Linked DNA regions of Arabidopsis thaliana. The protein of the gene in region 1 interacts with the protein of each later gene in a pairwise test. Each region holds a gene or a part of one and is shown on either strand. Other genes may lie near its edges. The genes, in order: BETA-OHASE 2 and AT1G73920.

Evidence for each region.
Region 2: the proteins of BETA-OHASE 2 (region 1) and AT1G73920 interact in a two-hybrid assay, tested with the Arabidopsis thaliana proteins (one large-scale study listed by BioGRID).

What each region holds. Positions count from the first base shown.
Region 1 is NC_003076.8:21,334,164-21,339,181, reverse strand, and holds BETA-OHASE 2 (beta-carotene hydroxylase 2), read left to right. Parts: upstream 1-2,055; 5' UTR 2,056-2,294; coding exon 2,295-2,666; intron 2,667-2,750; coding exon 2,751-2,810; intron 2,811-3,127; coding exon 3,128-3,199; intron 3,200-3,292; coding exon 3,293-3,427; intron 3,428-3,757; coding exon 3,758-3,883; intron 3,884-3,985; coding exon 3,986-4,042; intron 4,043-4,181; coding exon 4,182-4,271; 3' UTR 4,272-4,389; downstream 4,390-5,018. Other genes in the region: AT5G52580 (RabGAP/TBC domain-containing protein), read right to left, coding at 174-258, 387-494, 584-635, 725-898, 1,062-1,130; USP (UDP-sugar pyrophosphorylase), read right to left, coding at 4,609-4,776, 4,856-5,018. UniProt on the Arabidopsis thaliana protein: Nonheme diiron monooxygenase involved in the biosynthesis of xanthophylls. Specific for beta-ring hydroxylations of beta-carotene. Also has a low activity toward the beta- and epsilon-rings of alpha-carotene.
Region 2 is NC_003070.9:27,789,057-27,795,568, reverse strand, and holds AT1G73920 (alpha/beta-Hydrolases superfamily protein), read right to left. Parts: upstream 4,833-6,512; 5' UTR 4,376-4,832; coding exon 4,335-4,375; intron 3,974-4,334; exon of another isoform or gene 3,969-3,973; coding exon 3,795-3,968; intron 3,711-3,794; coding exon 3,314-3,710; intron 3,216-3,313; coding exon 2,917-3,215; intron 2,823-2,916; coding exon 2,754-2,822; intron 2,655-2,753; coding exon 2,598-2,654; intron 2,173-2,597; coding exon 2,120-2,172; intron 2,030-2,119; coding exon 1,954-2,029; intron 1,820-1,953; coding exon 871-1,819; 3' UTR 641-870; downstream 1-640. Other genes in the region: AT1G73930 (polarity axis stabilization protein), read left to right, coding at 61-222; ARP4A (actin-related proteins 4A), read right to left, coding at 5,269-5,446, 5,599-5,672, 5,760-5,906, 6,036-6,127, 6,264-6,276.

The DNA.
Region 1 (5,018 bases):
TCATGTTAGACCTCTCTAATGAGTAAGTAACAAGTGCTATAAAAGCCTGTCAATACATTGACACTGTGCATTCCTAAGCTACTTTCATACAGTAACCGAAACAGACTATAAAGACAGGTTATAAATAAGAATATCAATACAGAACAAAAAACTATCTCATATCAGACACAAACCTTGCAAGAAAAACATGCTGCTTCACCATGGCCAGAAACTCCCTGACTCCTCCATTGTAGAAGTACAGAGGTGGAAATGCAAGTCCTGCAGGTCATTTTAAACCATTAAGTCTGAATCATTCGACTTGTCGAGAAGGAAAAGGGAAACCCCCTCCCGTATAGTAATTCATTATATATATCTCACAAAAAGCAACAGCCAAAAGTTTTGCTTACCAGAAGACAGGACAACAATTACATACTGCCATCCGAGAGCAGGAGTGTGTCTCCTAATGGACCTCACTTCAGTAAACGGAACCGCGGTGATGGTATAAAGACTCCTGTCTAGAAAAGATATAGAAACTAAGAACAAAGGTAAAGCATTAATCTTCAATACTAACATATACTAATTCAGTTCAAGGAATCCTAAATACCTTTCTCTGATAGCTTTGCATTTGATGTTTGTCCCTTGTACGGAATCCACGACTAGCCATCATATATCAAAAAATGGAAACAAGTAAGTGAATGAATACAAAACTAATACAAACAAACAATCAATTTCAGTGATTGATTACCAGAAAGAGAACAGAGTCTTGCTTAGTCAACTTCAATCTACCACTAATCCTCTCAGATGCGAACTGTGTAGGATGAATTGCAACGTTATCTTTCAAATAAATCAATACAGCGTCTTCGTGTTCACTTTGTAAACTTCTCTTTCCGCTATCGCTACGCATCATACTAGCCGATCCCTAACAAAATCAAGAGCCATAGCAACACAATCAAACGATCAAGTCAAATAGATAATGGATTCAAATTCGCATTGGCGAAGATTTATTATCGGAAAATTACGATCGAATTGTTGAATCAAAATTGAGAAAGCACGAGAAGAAGGACAAAGTCAGAATAACAAACTTGTTGTTGAGAAGCGGCGTAATCGGCGTCGTCAGAGAGATCTTGTAGCTCCGTTGCTTCCATACTCATGGTGATTTCAGGAGAAGAGAGAGGTGATGAGAGAGATCAGATTACCCTGGAGACGAAGTAAGTAATTAGAGAGGAAGCTTACGCGTCGTTGAGAATATTCGATTACGTGTGTGTATCTTCATTAATTTTGCAGTTAAAAAGGTTTTAATTACAGGTCGGCGTTGTAACCGAACCGAACCGAACCAAGTTGTAATCGAATCGAATTTAGTCAACTTTATAATAATCCGAATAATACGAAATAAGTTTCTTTACTATAGTAGTAAAATGCGAATTTGGTGTAACAGAACCACATTAACCAGAATTTATCAGAAATGCATATTTTTAGTTGAGTAACATACTAATCAAACAGAGCAAATTAATATTTCCTTTTAGTTAAAACCAAAGCAAATTGATCTGTAACTTTAAACAATTAGTTTATGCTGCGGCTTTTTAGTAACTTTTCTGGGCTCTGATCACTCACATAGTCACATTCATATATTTCAGTCATAACTTTTGCTATTTTGTTTTGTTAGTAACTTGTCAAAACTACAAATCAAGCTGAAATCTGTTTTGAAAATGCATGGAAACAACTTGTGTAAATTAAACCACCTGTAGTTGTATACTTGAGATCCTTTTTAAGTCGCACAAGTTTAGAACGAGAACTAGAAGCTTCATGTCAAGCAATACCTCATTTACCTTTGAAGAGTGTCATCTGATGAAACAATATGAACAAATAAGGATTGGACATGTGGAAGTTGGTGATACTCCTCTTGCCTATTCGGTGGAAGAAGAGGCCACGTGGAGCCATTAAATAGAAGTGGAGTGATTCGCTGTCGATGACTTGGGAAAATCCTAGAAAATGGCCCATCAGGCCATCACCTCTCCTTACCTCAAATTCTAATAAACTCACTTTTTGTATTTGTTTATATGCTTGCTTTTGCGAAATGTTTTTCTTATTATAAACATTAACAATATTATTGTAATTGACTCAACATATAAAAAAAACAAAATGGTATAGTTTTTATATAATTTGTTTGTAAAAGAAAATAAAAATGTGGCCTCTCTCCATTTAGCTCTTCTCTCTGCAAAGCTTTACCACACAATAGTCTCCTTGTGTTTCTCTTTATATTTGTCTCTATAACTCTCTTTCGTTAAAGTTTCATAAAACCTCAACGAACTCCTTCCATGGCAGCAGGACTATCAACAATCGCCGTAACACTCAAACCACTCAACCGCTCTTCTTTCTCCGCAAACCACCCTATATCCACCGCAGTTTTCCCTCCATCTCTAAGATTCAACGGCTTCCGACGTCGAAAGATTCTCACCGTTTGTTTCGTCGTGGAAGAACGGAAACAAAGCTCTCCCATGGACGATGACAACAAACCAGAAAGCACGACAAGCTCTTCTGAGATCTTGATGACGTCGCGGCTTCTCAAGAAAGCGGAGAAGAAGAAATCAGAGAGGTTCACTTATTTAATAGCAGCTGTGATGTCGAGCTTTGGTATCACTTCTATGGCTATAATGGCTGTTTATTACCGATTTTCTTGGCAAATGAAGGTAAATTATAATAAATAAATAAATAACGAAAATTCAATACTATTTGTCCTAATTTCCAAAAGTGAAAAATTTGATTTTTTTTAGGGAGGTGAAGTGTCTGTGTTAGAGATGTTTGGTACATTTGCTCTTTCCGTTGGTGCTGCCGTAAGTTTCATTCCTACATTATATTCCCATTTTGGGGTGGGAAAATCCAAACCAAACCGAAATATGTCAATCTAATTCCGAACCAAATTTTATTTATAACTCAAACTAAATAAAATTCTATGCAAACAAACAGAATTAAACCACAAATTCATAAGAAATTTTATTTTTAACTAGACTTATCAAAATACATTTGTTTTCAGCCTATTTTCTAACATCCGAAAAAAACGAAGTTCAATAACCAGAACAAGTTAAACCGTAAAAAGCCAATGTCCATGCTTATTCCGATTCATTTATATTTTCGTATATTTGAATTTTAGGTTGGGATGGAGTTTTGGGCAAGATGGGCTCATAGAGCTCTTTGGCATGATTCTTTATGGAACATGCATGAGGTATTTCATTTTTTCTCATTATTCTGGTTTTTCTTTTCCGGTTTACTGCTAACAAATTAAGAATATTCATAGCCGGTTATTGGTTTGTGGCAGTCACATCACAAACCAAGAGAAGGAGCGTTTGAGTTAAACGATGTGTTTGCTATAACAAACGCGGTTCCTGCGATTGGTCTACTCTATTATGGATTCTTGAATAAAGGACTTGTTCCTGGTCTCTGCTTCGGTGCCGTAAGTCTTTTTTCTCTCTTTCGACAATATCCGAAACTTATAAAGAAAAGATCAAAAGTCTTTTGTTTTTCTATAAAGAGAGAAGCAATAGTAAATTGGTATTTGACTTCTTTAAATAAAGTCACGGAAACCGAAAGTATGAAAATTTTTTGTGGTTTTTTTTTTTCTTTTCACCGTCCCACAAAGAGTGTGAACGTGTGAGTTGGGTGAGACCTATCATCTAGTACCCGTCCAAACATGAAAGATTGGGTGTACTTAGACTAATGAAACCACTATACGAGTACTATCTGTTTCTTGTTTTTTGTGCTGACTGGTTTGTAATATCACCAGGGACTGGGAATAACGATGTTTGGAATGGCTTACATGTTCGTTCACGATGGACTTGTGCACAAGAGATTCCCTGTAGGTCCCATTGCCAACGTTCCTTACCTTCGAAAGGTCGCCGCCGCTCACCAGGTTTTAATACCATCGTTAACCAACGCTCTTAACGTTCTTCATTCCATATAGTTATTATTGATTTACAAAATTTTGCTAACGATTATGGCTTTATCTTTTTAGCTACACCACACAGACAAATTCAAAGGTGTACCATATGGGCTGTTTCTTGGACCAAAGGCAAGAATATATAACCCTTTTCAAAAATAAACATATGAGATATCAATTGATAATTTGCATGTTATTTTTGTTTAACACGTGAATTGATTTTTATTTTTTGTTTGCATATGGTTTGGATTGGATTTTGAGAATGGTGCAGGAAGTAGAAGAAGTGGGAGGAAAAGAAGAGTTGGAGAAAGAGATAAGCCGGAGAATCAAATTATACAACAAGGGTTCTTCTACCTCTTAATTGCTACAAACCCAATTTTACTTCTTTGATGTTTTTGTAATACATTTTGGGACTAGTCTTTCTTTTAGTATATATAAAAAATGACGTAGAAGAAAGAGTCAGGCTAATAAAGATTTAGAAAAACATAAAGAAACAATATATTCGGGTTTTGTTGAAAAACAAAGAAAAGGAAGTGTTTCGTTGGAAACAAAACGAAAGAAAGAATTAAGCTCTCCATTAGAAGGACAAATTAATGGATCATTTGGCATTCTCTTAAAAAAATAGCTAATTTGCTAATTGATCATATTGCCAAATAACACTTTTTAAAAAAGTGTCACATAAATGTGCAAAGATAACTTCAATCTTCAACAGAAAATTTGCCAGGTTGAGTTAACTTCTTTTCGAGTTGCTCCACTTTGTTGAATCTAAAACCTCTGATTCTTATTTCTTCTGGAACCGATGTGTCCTTGTAATCTACACTCTCCATGGTCCAACCATTGTTCTTTATCAAACCTCCAAGTTTTACCTGTTTTCACAATGTTAATATGATGATAATCAAAGAGATAACAATGGAATATGATAGCTTTCAAATACACATCACATACCTCTGCATCATCAATGGAATCTACAATAAGAGCACCGTCCAAGGAGAGATCTTTGATAAATACATTACGACCCTTGATTGCCATTGTGGATCTCTGAGAGACCTCGCAGTTCCCGCTGACTTTCTTTTTGATATCAGAGAAGATCATTCCCCATTTGGGTTTC
Region 2 (6,512 bases), on another chromosome or scaffold:
TAGTTCTCTCTTCAGCAGATTTGGAACCATTATGACATATCGAAAACATATATTTTGCAGTCGCTGGAATCAGGAGGAGGTGCAGATTCAGAAGGAACGTTTCAGAAACTGAAGAAGGATCTACAAGCGGTGTTCAGTGTGCTTCCAAAGGACATGCAGCAACTTCTGCTTTTAAATCCACAAAGAGCATCTCTTCTTCAAGATCCATCAGAGCTCCAATGAATGCTCTTCTTCACTACGGCGTCCATGAGGATTCTGATTTCTTTTCTTCCCTTTTCTGTTTCATTCTTTGAACTGTACCAAAGAAAAAAGAGAAAAATTCTTCATCTTCCCTAATTGTTTACTCGTTTTTTCTTTTGAAACATGAGAATCACACAACACCGAAATCACTGATCACTGCTGTATTTTTAACTCTATAACCAGATAAATTTATCCTTCTTGGATCCATTAAACATGTAACTGTAACTATGATTTATATTATTACGACAAATGAATAAACTGTATGACCTACAGAAGTTCTATGTCAAAGTATGCAAAGATTCGCCAACTATATGATTAATTGGTCTCTTCAGATCTTCCAATGGAAAGGAGGAATTTTCTGGATTCATAGCATCTTTCATGACATCATATCATTTTCATGGAAACCAAACCACTAGAAACATTATTATATACCATACGGCTGAAAAAAGCATCTCTCACAACAAGATCATTTCATCAAGGGATCAATCTTTACGGTATATGTACACTATTATAGCCAAGCCATAGGATACTGGCATAGAACACACACATGAAGCTTACACACAACATCACAATACAAAGACACCAAACTCTACGAGGCATTGAACATTGGCCATAGATCGGTTTCAGCTACTACACTACTGTACCCTCCTTTTTCTTCTTCTTCAACTTCATACCTTTCTGACTGGTCTGCCTCTGTTGAACTGGTGTCTGTTTCACAAGCAGAAGCCGCGACATCACATATCTCAAAAGCTCTTCACGGTGAGAGAATGTGAAATCAAGGTGAGCATACTCAAACTCATTAAACGATACATCGACCTCGGCATCTCTCATCACATTGTAGTGTTTCTTCACCATAGAGGAACGGATCACCTTGTCGTTCCTTCCCGCTACTAAATCCACAGGCACATCGATGAACTTGTAAGACTCCCCTAGATCAAGCGGTTCAGGAGAGCCATAAACCTCCATGTTAGCTGATCTGCTTCCATAATCATACATCCTGAATTTACCGGTGTGTTTGATCTGAGCAAGATGTTGCGCCACACGGAAGGAGACAGCTGGCATGTCGTTCATGTTGTAGTGAGGCAATCCTAAGACTCCGACCCAATTCGAGCTGTCTCCACCAACTACATAACTCATTAGAGTTTGGACCAATCCACCAAGAGCAGGATAGTTGTGAAAGTCACGGGCTAACTTGTTCAGAAGCATTCTGAAGAATCTTGTCGGTATGTAGAAGGCAGGCACGATGCGAGCCAAAACTGGACTAATGAAAAGGAATATGTACTCAACTATTGTGAAACCTAAGTTCGAGTCCTCATGAAACCCAGCAGGTGAAAGTAGGATTAGTCGTGAGAGTCTGTGTGGCTTCTCCTTGATTTTTCGAGTAATAACATACATCAGAATTGCAGCACCGCCTAGACTGTGACAGATGGCACAGAGCTTATAAGGCTCCTCCTGGTTGATTTCTTCATCGATATTGGGCTGGCAGAGCTTGAGTTCTGTAGTTTTTATTTCATGAATTTTTTCTATCATCGCTGGGATATCTTCAGTACCGTGCTCGTTAATGGAGTATCGCCAGAACCTGCATTTTGGTCAATAACAATGAACATTTGTACAACTTGCAAATATATACATATGATGAAACTCCACTATCATAAAGAAACCAGACAGTGCATGTAGATTAAGTAAGAAGTGAACTTTAAAGCAATAACTCACTCTTTTGAGGATATGTTCTTGTTCACATGATCTCTTGAAACTAAACCCCGAAAGTTACCCAGAAAAACATCATAGCCTGTAAAGGAAAAGAGTGTAAGAAGCTGATAAATCGTTGCCGTATGTGAATTAATAAAAGATTGGAAAATGAAAAACTTGAGGCTTGAACCTTGGTCATACGCAGCAAAAGCCGGAGATCCAACAACCCCATTAGATACCCATCTGAAGAAAAACACGCAGTAGAGAAAAAGAGTAATCAATAATGTTTCATAGGACATATATTAGATCAAAACATCAGAGGATTATAGGATGTTCCAAGTCAAAACTAAATCTTTAAGAAGGATCGGAGAGAAGGAAAGGGAAAAAAGAAGATGAGATAACTAAAGTAACTGAAAGCAGTATCCCTCCTAATCGCACCAAAAGATTTTCCCAAATCCATTTTTGTGTCTTGAGCAAATCAAACACACACGCAAAGTTGAAGGGAACAAATTATGAAAATAATTTTTTTTTGGGTAAAGAGTCAGGAACATTGAAACGCCTAGGAATGTTATGCTACATGGATATAGAAAATAATACTTCCTCAACTTTTCAGCTTACTAAGTTTCCAAAGTTTACGAGTCATCTAAGAACTAGACCATGAAACTTACCCCATTGAAGAATCCAAAACCCCATGCTGCAAAAAAACAGCTTTCCTTGCATCACGTCTGCAAAGACAAGAGTAGTCAACGATCACATTAAGAGACAATGTAACAGGAATGGAAAGCATGCACAAGCGAGCTTAATATCTAACAAGAAAGTTATACCTTGGTATCCTTTCCAAGACAAGAACATATCCGTCAGATGTAATAACACGAATAGCTTCGTAAGGATACCTACCAAGAGTAGGAGAGAAATCAAGTAAATATCAACTACTTGAGAAAGAGAAAAAAAAAATGGAAGCATGAGACATCGAATCTGCCCCTTTACCCCAACTCTGTTATGACATCTTGACACGTTCGAGTATCAGTGTTCATAGAGTTGTATAAACGTGTGGGACTTTCAACGGGCCTTTCCGTGGGGGATGGATCTGTATCTCCTAAAGTAGCAGTCTGCACAGTTTCATCATAAGCAACCTCACCATGGTTTTCTTTAGGGCTGCGACTGGAAGATGAGAACCATGATAACAATATTGCAAAAGCTTCTGATGGAGAAAGAAGAAGATGCGTAGCCTTGTGAAAAAAATCAAATATTGCTTCTATGCCGATCTCGATAGCAAGATGAAGATCCTGAAAAATAAAGCACATTAAGTAGGACGAGTTTGTCAAAAGGTTTAAAATCACAAAAATGATTGTAACATTGAATATTTGTTCGTGCATCCACAAACCTCAATAACCCCACGTCTTCTATCAGTAGTTCGGTTGGGAACATCATGGTCTTTGCTTGAGTTGGTCTTGCTAATACGAGGTCTAGATGAATGTTGGTGCCTTCTCGGGCTCGCAGGAATTCTTGAACTTCGTTTATAGAATAAACTTATAATATATTGTGGTATCCATAGCAAGATCCGTACAGGAAACATTAACCACCAAAGAATGAACGTAATCCACTCTGTCCAGTGGTTTTCAGAACTTGCAGAAGTGCTAGCCCAAGAGAGGCGTGAGCTTTGAGATGATGGTGATGGAGGCAAAGGACCATCACTATCTTCTCCAGAAGAATACTCCAAGCTTGAAGTATCAGAATCAACAGAAAGCTCATGAATGAACTCATTGAAAGAAGAGACCCCACTGCCATCAAAAACAGAGTAAAATTAGCATATTTTGAAGGCTTGCAAATAAACTAACAACAGAAGAATCATGAGAAATTATTACTTATGCATCCACCGTGGTAAACGTGGTCCACGAAACGTAGGCCTGAGTTCCCAGCCATGTAAGCCTTCAAGAATATTAGCCTTCCCTGGGAGAAGGGTCAACAGAAGAGCTGATACTCCATTTATGCACCTCGCAATGTTATTCAAAGACTCATATGTAACAGTTTTTACTGATCTGCACTAAAAGCCAAAACATAATCAAAAAGCTTATTTAGTTTAAGCTTGTTAGACAACATAAGGGAAAAGAAGAACATCTAACAAAAAGACGAACCAAAAAAAAAGAAATAGTCATTTCACCGACTCAAAGTTCATAGCCAACATCAACTCTAAAAGACGAAGCTTTGAATGAAGATACTAGAATAAAATGGTCTAACAAAACTCAAAAACACAATCTACCAATACTAATTAACAAAGAGACTTACTATAATCACCAAACGATCAAAAACTTAAAAATCTCTACTTGTCATTTATGAAACATTAGAACAACTATAGGCGCATACACAGATGAATCCACTGATGATCGATAAGAAAAAAGACTCACTCTTTGGTTACAGCGAGAGCGTTGTCCACGATCCGTTGCATTGCTTTTTTCTCAAAAATCAGATTTTTTTGTTTTTTTGGAAATATCAGAAAATTTGAAACCAAAAAACAATCTGATTCGTCGCCGTAATCCGAAAATTATCGAGGAAAACGACAAAGAGAAAATTTCTTATCCACCTGAGAAAACACAAAATTTAGCCAGAATAGAAATCTCTCGATGCTAGGAGATATTGGACCAAATCGCGATCGAGATTTAATCCGAACTCAAAATAAGGAAAACACAGAGACCCACAGGAGCCGCGATTCGAGAATCAAAAATCTAAAAAGAAAAAACAAAATTGGAGAGAATCTGACGAAAATAAAATAAAAATGGGAGAATCCGATTAAATAGGGGCACGTCGGCGATTCTTGCCGTCCAGAGACCAGAAAATGGTGACACGTGGACATGTGTTATTGGATAATGACGAATGTGACAAAAACTACGACACGTAAATTCGACTTTTGGATAACGGAGAAGGTGGATTTACCAAACAGGCAAACACACAAGTACATTTGTGGTTGTTTTCACTTAGAAAAATAGTACATTTGTTGTATGTTAACGTTGAAACATTATATTATACGAAGCTATTTCTAAAGCTTCATAATAATAATAAAAAAGTGTTTAATATTTGCCTAAATAAATGAAAAGATACTAATTACTTAATCCCTAAACCCTCTGACTGTCTCCAAAGGTTCTCGTTATCTTGATCTCAAGCAGCTTTTAAGGGCATTTCCTCTGGATGTAAGAAGCTCCATGCTCTGCATACCTGTCATGTACACAAAAAGACTCAAACCCTAGCGATGAGAAGACACTGTTTATACGTGAGTCGAGATCTAGAGAGCAATCCAATGTGTTACTTACTCAGACTTGGAGAACCACATTTGCTGGAATGAGCCTAACGATGCCAGTATACTACCTTACTTCTACCAAGTCTTTCTCGAGGCGTTCTTTCAATTACTGCATTGATGATGTTCCACCAGAATAATCTGTTCCTAATCCAAGATGAACTCAGCATCGATAAAAGGTAGAGAAACCAGACTTTTCTCTCTGCTGCTGTGAGTTCAGAGGAGGCTCTGCAAGTAGCATTGGGTGCTCCGTGGGATCAATCATTAGACAATTCCTTGAATAATAAACATTTACACAGATGAAATCATCAATCAACTATAAATGGAAAAGATAAAGATTAAACAGTTAAAGACAAAAACTAACAGATTCTGCAAATTACCTAAAAGCATGATCCCATACATTGTCCACCATATCCCAATCAGTTACAATGCCATCCTTTGTAGGTGACAATATCTGGAACAGACAAATGTCAACTAATAGAGAGACCTGAAAATTTATCTTCATCCCTAACCATTTTGAAGTTTAATAAAGAAAACTGACCTCCATTTGATCGCGGCGAAAGTTCAAAGCTTGAGATCCTGTGTAAAGCTTCCTTTTGCCTTTTTCTTTATCAGACTCCTTTGCATCCTCCGTGGTGTTTGCAGCATCATCAATATCCATTCCATTTCCATCTATCGCTCCAACAACCTTATAAGTTATATAACACATCAACAACAGCAACAACAAAAAACCTAAATTTCTCGAATTGCTTGCTCTACACTAAAAGGACCTAACTTTAACCAATTGAAAAGAGAGGAAGTAAAGAATGAGACTTACGGAAGGGAAAACAGCTTTAGGGGCATCTTCTCCGGCGTAACCAGCTTTGCAAGTGTGAGAACCTAAGTCTACTACGATAGCTGACACTTCGTCTGTTCAATATATAAGAAACCCCACCAAGGAAAAGTTTACACCTTTACGAGACGAGCTCAAGCGAAAAGGGAAAGAAGTAATGCTGAATTTGTACAATCAGAGAGAGATTTTAGAGAGGACGAAAATAAAACCTACCTCCACCGTACATGGCTGCCGAGAATGGGAGAGGTGAAGAGAGGTTTTCTCTACCGGAGCTTCGTCGGAAGGTTTAAGAACGGAACCGGAAAGTAAACTATTTAAGTGATTTCACTTTGTCTCGGATTGGGAAGTTGAATATAAAGAAGAGAAGGACTAAAACAAACAAACCTGAAATATGAGGGACTAAAACTAAAGAAACTGAAAACAAAGGGACTAAAATAAAAACAAATATGAAAAAATTAAAAA